Linked DNA regions of Schizosaccharomyces pombe. Changing the gene in region 1 together with any one later gene gives a genetic interaction. Each region holds a gene or a part of one and is shown on either strand. Other genes may lie near its edges.

Region 1 (4,442 bases):
ATTGTCATCTAAAGTTTGAGCGGAATCATTGTTGGTCTGGTCATTAAGACAATTGGACGGTTGTTTCAATTTAGGGTCGGAGGAAAGCGGTTTCAGTATTTCTTGAAGCTTAGTTTTCGACTCAAAATGTTGAACTAGCCGCTGCCGTTCCAGAGACCAGTTGCGCTCTTGACGTTCCTGCATAGCCTTCATCTTTCTTAATTTTTGTAACTTTTCGGGATGGCGGGAATTTAGGGCAAAGATGTACCTCAAGGCAGCGGGATAGGTTTTAATTTTTTCTGCGTCCTCTATAGAATTGTTCAACTCAAAATCAGAGGGTTTCCGAGCCTTCGATAGAGGGATGGATGATTTGTCTACATTTTCAAGCTGATTACTCGTTACGTTGGAGGAGCTTTGAAGCTCTTGAAGCAAATCTGCGATTTTTTTATCCATTTGGAAAACTCATGAATTTTGTATGCATCAAACACATTGATATTCAAAATAATTTATCTAGCCCAAAAATAGTTAAAAGAAATTGAGAAATTAAGTACTAAGCAGTGGTGGAGCTGGGTTCGAGAACAGAATCCTTAGATTCAGATGTAGCGGTAGATGGTTCGCCGTTAGAGGTGACATCGGGCTTTGCATCAGTAACGGGAGAGTCATCCGTTTTGGAAGTTTCTTCGGTTTTTAATTTTTTTTCATTTTCGGGTTCGCTTTTTATGCCATTTGCAACTGGCTCTTCGGAAGCGTTGGGAATACCAGCAATGATGGAAAATTGACCACCTGCACCCGCTACACGGATCGCCACTTCCTTGATTGCCTTGGAACGAACTAATGTAGGAACAGCTACATCTTCATCATTATCACCTTGACCAACCTCGTAGTTTTCAGCAGATCCCCATGAATAAACCTTACCATCTGAGGTAACAGCCAAGTTGTGATGGGTACCACACACGACCTGTATAACATTAGTAAGTCCTGGGATTATAGTAGGGGTTGACAAGTAGTAATTGTTTCCCTTTTCATCTTTAACTACTGTTTCTGGAAGTGCATTATCCGGAATTCCTAATTGATGACGATCATCTCGACCCCAGGCTAACACTCTCCCATCTTCAAGTAAGGCTAGGGTATGATGTTCACCACCTGTAATAGACTTAACATTATATCCTTCTAAAGCATCAACGAGTGTAGGCTTTGTAATAACGGCGCCTTCTTCTTCATCTTCTACCTCTATTCCACATTGTCTGGTTATATTTAAGCCCCAAGCATAAACGCGTCCTTTGTTGTCAATCGCAAAAGAATGATACGATCCTGCTCCAACTGAAATAATATTTTTTAAAGCTAACGGTTGAGGAGTCAAGCCTTGAAGTCGACGACGTTCTAACATACGTCTACCCAGTTGAAACTGTTGACCATTACCCCATGTATATACTTTTCCTGTGGTAGTCAAGGCAATAATATGGTCCGTCCCTGTAGCTAATTGACAAATTTCGGGAAGTCGCATCTGCGTCGGTTCAGCTGTACGTTTTTGAGAATCGCTATACCCTAATACACCATCGGAACACTAGTATGTTAGCAAACGAAAAATGATAAATTTATAAAGCCATTTGTTCCAAAAGGGCGAAGGGAAATGATACAATGAGTCAATAGACTATAAACAACACTGCAACGATAACAGCACCTGAATTTGGAATCAAAGATCAAATGATAATTTTTCACGGCCAAAACAAATTACTTACACGGAAAGTACCCCAAGTAAAGCAGCAGCCATTGTCCGTTATTGCTGCAGTGAGATTGTCGCTACATATAACTTTTGTAACGCGTAGATGAGATAAAGCACCTTCGACCTTAGAAGGAGTTCCCTCTAGTAAATCATTGTCAACTTTGTCTCCATTCTCATCCTTTTGATCCTTAGTAAGACGACCAAGGGCATAGTCATCATTAACTCCCCAGGTGTATACGCGACCGTCATGAGAAAGGGCTGCAGAATGCATGCCGCCAACAGCCAAATCGACTACTCCTACTTTATCTGTAGATAAAATAGGATTCAAACGAGGACGATAAACGACATCCATTTCTTCTTCGCCCATACCTAGCTCGTTCATGGAACCGCTTCCAAAGACGTAAACGTTCAATCGTTCCGTAGGTAGTTCAGGTATCTTATTAATTCGCTTTGCGCTTCCTGGGACACGAACGGGTTTGGGTAGAGAGCTGACCTTTGCACGTTTAACCGGCTTTTTGCCATTTTTCATCACATCTGATTCATCTAATTCTCTTTTTTCAACCCCATTTTTTGAGACCTCCTCTCTTTTAGTTGAGCTTCTAGTACTTCTATTAGAAGTCATTATGAGTTTTAGCTGGAAGGGTTAGCTTTGCTACTAACAATCGATTTGTAATTTAAAAAAGAACAAGATGTCATCGCGTATTCCATGCAACCATCACCAGACGCAAATCCAAGAATTACATTTACTTTTTGGTACCACTTACTATAGCTTGGGTTTAAAATATTACAAAAGACAAAAAACAACGATTTATGTCGTTTTTGTTTTCGCAGAGACGTTGTTTTCAAAACTCGAACAAGTCGTTCTGTATACGGATTCTCACTATTCAGTATACTGCGAATCGTTGTTATGTGCAGCTTGTAATTAAGCATTCGTTAATTACAACATAAGCTTCGTTTAGCAAAATAAGTTATTGACTTCAGTAAAAGTTCCCAGCTTGTATTTGTTCAAATGTGTGTAAGGTGAGCTACGAATTTTTATGAAATCCTTTCTTTTTTTTTAACTTCATTTGATTTATATAAATTCGTTTAATCACGTCGAATGTTGAAAATTTGAGACCTCTTCTTATCTGAGAAAGCGGTTTCATGTATAGCTAAACAAAGATCAAATTTAAAAAAAAAGCTCATTAGTCATAAGAAGTTACAGTAAGACTCGGAGTGTCCATCGTTCAGCAAGATCGTATGCGAGAATACGAACTCAAGCAACGCGATTTTAATCTCTTCATAAATTATTTTTATGAGGACCATATACTTTTTTCCCTCATGATTTAATATTTAGTTACAATGAACATAGTCGTTAGCAGTTTCTGTTTTCTTTATTCTTTTCTGGATTTATATGTCTGTGAATTTGCCATGTCATAAATTTGGGTAACGATGTTACTCAACTTGATTCTACAAGTTTGCCTGTGAACTTGAGTATACTGTAAAATTAATTTCTCTTCTTAATCAGCTCAAATTATTAAAAGTTGTAGTTGAAATTTTCAAAATACGGCAAGTTGTCTTGTGGGGGGCGGTTTTATCTATCGGTAATGGCTCAAAGGTTAACCCTATAGAAGGGACTTGTGGTGTTTGGTGACTGGCTCAGTACCTTGCCAACAGCAGAATTGGCATCCCTTGCTCATCTTGATCAAAACTGTGTAAATACAGCCTTTTCAAAGAGTAAGTTATTATAATAAATTTACAACTAACGTAGATAGGGCTTCGGATGCTGTCCCATTGAATTGCGAGAGTGTAAACAATAACCTCGCGACTTCAGCCAGTATTGAACAAAAAACCTCTCTAGGATGTCTGTTGCATCCTTTCTCACGGGCGAAAAGCTTCTAGCAGGATCCAAGTTTGTAATTGGAAAATACAATGTTACTATCGAAAAGTACATAGCCGAAGGTATAATTTTTGGGTTGGATGGATCGAGGAGTATTACAATGAAAGATTTATTTTACTAACATTTTTCATTAGGCGGCTTTTCTCATGTATATCTTGTTCAAACAAATTCCAAAACTGATGGATCACCGATAACTGCTGTTTTGAAACGCATGTATTCTCCAGACGAGAATGCCCTGCGTTTCGTGAAAACTGAAATCGAAACGATGGTATGTTAACGTTATTGATTTTTTTGTCTAACTTATTAGGAACTACTCAAATCCAATCCCCACGTGGTTTCGTATATCGACTCCTGCATATTTCCTCTCGAGAAAGCGGGTGTCAACACTGGATTTGAAATCCTGCTTTTGATGGAATACTGCGCTGGGGGTGGATTGATAGATTTTATGAATCAAAGGTTACAAACTCGGTTGTCAGAGCATGAAGTCTTAAAAATTATTTCAGATATTGTACAGGGTGTTGCTTCCTTACACTATCTGAGACCTCCTCTCATTCATCGCGATCTGAAAGTAGAAAATGTTTTGCTAAGCTTTAATACTTTTAAATTGTGCGATTTTGGAAGTGTGACTGAGCCAATGCATGCTGCTGAAAACTCTAGCGAAATTCAAGCATTAGAAAAAAGTATCAACACATTTACTACCTACCAATATCGTGCCCCTGAGATGATTAATTTGTATTCAGGCTTAGGAATTGATGAGAAAAGTGACATGTGGGCTTTAGGAGTCTTGTTATACAAACTCTGTTACTATACAACTCCTTTTGAAACACAAGGTCCTAACGCTATATTAACAGCTTCATATTC
Region 2 (3,973 bases), on another chromosome or scaffold:
AATATCCCAACCCCAATAAAGCACTTTCATCCAAACACTCGAATGACTTTTTCCCTGTCGCAAGCATGTATTCTGTTGCAAAATCCTGGATGCTATGAACTAAATCCTAAACATAAAAAGATTAGTTAAACAAGTATTGGCAGAAGCTGTGAACTTACAGGATCCGGCAGTTCATGTGGAATTGGAACAGAAAAATCCTGTACTAAATCACGAGCTCTGTAAGACAATTCACCATCAGCATTCACCAAATTATACAAAGTTGGCCGAGTTGGTGGATTTGACATTAATAGATGGCGTTGGACGTAGAGTATGTACTATGCTAGGTGAAGCTTCTAATTCGTCCTTGCAGTAGTACAATCATATTTGGAAACACCAAGCTCAAGTAATGGAATCCCCACATTCTTAAAAGTTAACTGCGACTTACAGAAAATTTATCTCGAGGTTTACAGACATACTGAAAAAATAGTTCAGGCTTTACGACATAACAACAAAACAACTTTACACAGATACAATCCAAACCATATTATATTGACCCAATACTTAATTAAAGTGGGTTATTAATAAAACGTAAAGAACCTTTTCGCCATTTTTGAAAGGGGAATTTTTTTTCTGTCATATACAGATTTAATCTAATACTATTTATCGGTCCTGCCGCGTAAAAAGACAGAATGTTGATAAAAATGCAGAAGGAAATCGAATGGTCGATATAGACCATCCGTTGACCACAATCGTTCATTACCGCCTAGCATGAACAATAGAAATATGTTAAAAAATTTCGGAAACAGCGGAGCAGGGTTCGAGAGGGAAAGTAGTTGCTCTAAATATGAGCTTTTGATAGCTCATCAGCAAGTTCTTTGTCTTCTTTTTCTTCTTCAGAAGTCTCCGGCTCAGGGCTTTGAGACTCAGCTTCTTCTTCTTCATCCTCCTCCTCCTCGTCGGTAAGTTCCTCCATATCATCAAGCTCATCTAGTTCACCACGACCACGGGTGCTAAAGACTTCACGTATTTCATCAACAACATCGTCTTCTTCCGAAAATCTGTTTCCATTTAATTCAAGGAATAAAAGATCCGGCATTTTCTCATCAATCACAGTTTTTAGGGTCCGGACAGCATCCAGCTCTATCTCGTTATACTGTAAGCGTAACGTTTGAAGCCCAATATTTTCTAATTTAGAAAAAGCATCTACAACTGCGGCAGCACCGCGAGCAGATAAGAGACAATCGTTGAGGCCTAGTTCTCGAAGGTTGGGCCAGCTTTTCAACGCGATAGCGAGAGCGCTAGAGCCCAAGTGCGTAAATGTGTTATCTTGAAGATCGAGTACCTTTAGCTCTTGGCAATATGCTAATCCTTCAAGCAATAAGTGTTCAATACCTTCGGGACGGATACCATTTTGCACCATTTTCACTGTATGTAGCAAACGGTGGCTCTGGAAAGTTTTAGCCCATTCTTTCATACTCCCATTTTCTAAACGATTTCTTCCACAAATAATGGAACGCAAGGGAGGTGCATTTTTAGCTTTCTTGTTGACCGCCAGCTCTTGCAAGGCACGAGCAATTTTTGCGCCAGCTTGAGGACCGAGTCCATTATTGTGTAGGTAAAGATGCTCCAAAGGTGTGTGTTTTGAAAGAAAGTCAATCAAGGGCTCCTGTGCAGTAGGGCCAAAGGCATTATCGCTCAATCTTACAGTATGTAGTTTTGGGCACTTGAGTAAAGCTTGTAGCAACAGACGTAAAGCCTCAGGAATTTCATCTTTGACACGTCCAGTAAAGATATCACTAAACTCTGCAATTTCTAAATCTTTTTTTGAGGCAATATTCTCTGACAACCATCTAGCAGCTTCGGTTCCAATTGTGTTACCAGACAATACAATTTCCTTTACAGAATCATCTTCTAACAGAACAGCAAATACAGACTTCTCGTCTTCAGTTGTAATTGCATCTAATTTCAAAGACTTCCCTTCTATTGAAAAACGCGACATGGAGTTGGTTGTTGAAAGAAAAAATATAGCAGGTATGGTGGTGAGGAAAGATTGTGTGAACTAGCTGTGTATGTTAAATTTGATCGAGGATAGATGCTTCAGTCACTTGAATTCATGGCTTTTAAAAAAGAAACTAAAATAATATTCAAAGTAGAAGAAGAACGAAATTTATCCTCTTTTGACGGATACCCCCTTTACTCAACCTGTTTTTATTTACAAACTCAAATGCGATCTCTCGCTAATGAGTTTAATTTTAAGACGATTCTATGCTATTAGAAGTCATTTAAATTATTAGATCAGATTAGCGCAAACCGAAAGATACTCAATGTCGGAGTGGTGCATTAGTGCTCGGATACGTTCCTGAAAGACATGTATAAAACTTTTGTAAATAGGATGATTGAGCTTTTTTGACATTTATCTATCATTCATTTTTGAAAAAATAGCTGTGACAATCCTGTTGCATATAGTTTGTTTTTTTGACTAAGTATAGAGGATCTTATGAAGAACCTTTTTGAGTGACCTTAGTCCTGAATTCTTAGCTTAAGTTTGCTTTAACTTAATTGCATTTCTAGCAATTAACATTGCTAGATTTTTGCCTCATCGCTAGTCCATTTATAAGAATACGAAGTTGAACGAAGGAATATTGACCAAAAGAGCTTGGTGACTTCCAAAAAATGAAGAATCAAAAAGATCTGAAATGAGTATCCCTATCTTTCAGCTTTCCGCTTGTTTCGTGATCATTTCAGTTACTCACACATATACATTTATGAGTTGACCCAAAAAGAAAATCGGAAAGCGGGAGTTTAACAGATATATGAAAAATCAAGATAATAACAACAATTGATATTTTTAGTTTAACATTTCTTATTCATTACTGTGAAAATCCACGAGTCTGCACTCTAGACACATAGAATACTCTTTAAACAGCTTTCACATTATCAGGAAAGCTATTCCATTGATACTGTATTCTTTTCAGTAAATTAATTCTCATTTCATAGTTGTAACCATTCTCGAATTGGACTTCAGTCCGCATTCCAGTACTTGATCTGCTTTACCTGTTTCAACAATTTGAATCGTTTGATTATTTTCCCATTCAATCATGACATTGATTTAGACGTATTGCTGAATTAAGCCATTCCTGTTATTTGTCCCAACGTATAAAACTGGTTAAAATGTTTAAGTACTGTGAATCATGTCATTAAAAGTTTGGAAACGTGATTTTAAAGGAACAACTCATTATTTTGAACATAAATCATTACCATACAGATTTTTCTTCTTTTTCTTCTTTTATTATAAATAGGATACGATAAGTAGAGGAAACCGTAAATTTATGATGATTGACTCCATGATGCGGTAATTTCAATCCTTCCACTACACACTGCCTTTAATTCCAGGTCCATCTGGTTAATCATTTTTTAAAGAATCTAATTCATTCATATTTTTTTATTATAATTTACATTATATTTTCAATTTCTTTTTACTGTTTTCTCTCGTTTCTTGAGTCAACGGGCGAAGATTCGTGTTTCAAACGTAGTATTCTTTGGAATATCACAAATCTCATTTTAATTTTTAAAACGGCTTTCTAATTTTCTACCGAGAAAGAGTAGAAAGTTTCCCATTTCATTCATAATTTCTGATCCATTCTTGGTATCTTATTGTTTTGCTTTTATCCAATCTCAGTTTATATTTGTGAAACTTGAAAAAGAGTTTCTCTTGTCTCTAAAAGACTAAATTTTATTTTTTATTTTTTTATTAATTTGCATTTAACATCTGCTAATCTTTAAAATGGCAGTCCTACAGTGGAAGTTATCTCGTGTTATATTCGTGTTGTTAATCATTGGGATTAGCTCTTTTCTCATTTACTTCCAATTTGGAAACTCTTTTTCTGCTTCACCTGCTTTAGAACGTTTACAAGATGTATTTTCCAAACCAAGTGTACAAGAATACGACTACTTAGTACCTCTGGATGAAGATATGCAAGGCCTTAGCACGACG

The links. A genetic interaction does not mean that the proteins touch.
Region 2: of pim1 (region 1) and rna1, extra expression of one is lethal in a mutant of the other (dosage lethality), as found in Schizosaccharomyces pombe (one study listed by BioGRID).

Annotation. Positions count from the first base shown.
Region 1 is NC_003423.3:2,488,505-2,492,946, forward strand, and holds pim1 (RCC1 family Ran GEF), read right to left. Parts: upstream 2,532-4,442; 5' UTR 2,467-2,531; exon of another isoform or gene 2,337-2,466; 5' UTR 2,325-2,336; coding exon 1,719-2,324; exon of another isoform or gene 1,544-1,718; coding exon 530-1,543; 3' UTR 515-529; downstream 1-514. Other genes in the region: SPOM_SPBC557.02C (uncharacterized protein), read right to left, coding at 1-432; Ark1/Prk1 family protein kinase Ppk29, read left to right, coding at 3,544-3,643, 3,716-3,849, 3,889-4,442.
Region 2 is NC_003424.3:5,029,789-5,033,761, reverse strand, and holds rna1 (RanGAP Rna1), read right to left. Parts: upstream 1,992-3,973; 5' UTR 1,979-1,991; coding exon 818-1,978; 3' UTR 501-817; downstream 1-500. Other genes in the region: RNA polymerase I upstream activation factor complex subunit Rrn10, read right to left, coding at 1-106, 159-284; alpha-1,2-galactosyltransferase Gmh3, read left to right, coding at 3,764-3,973.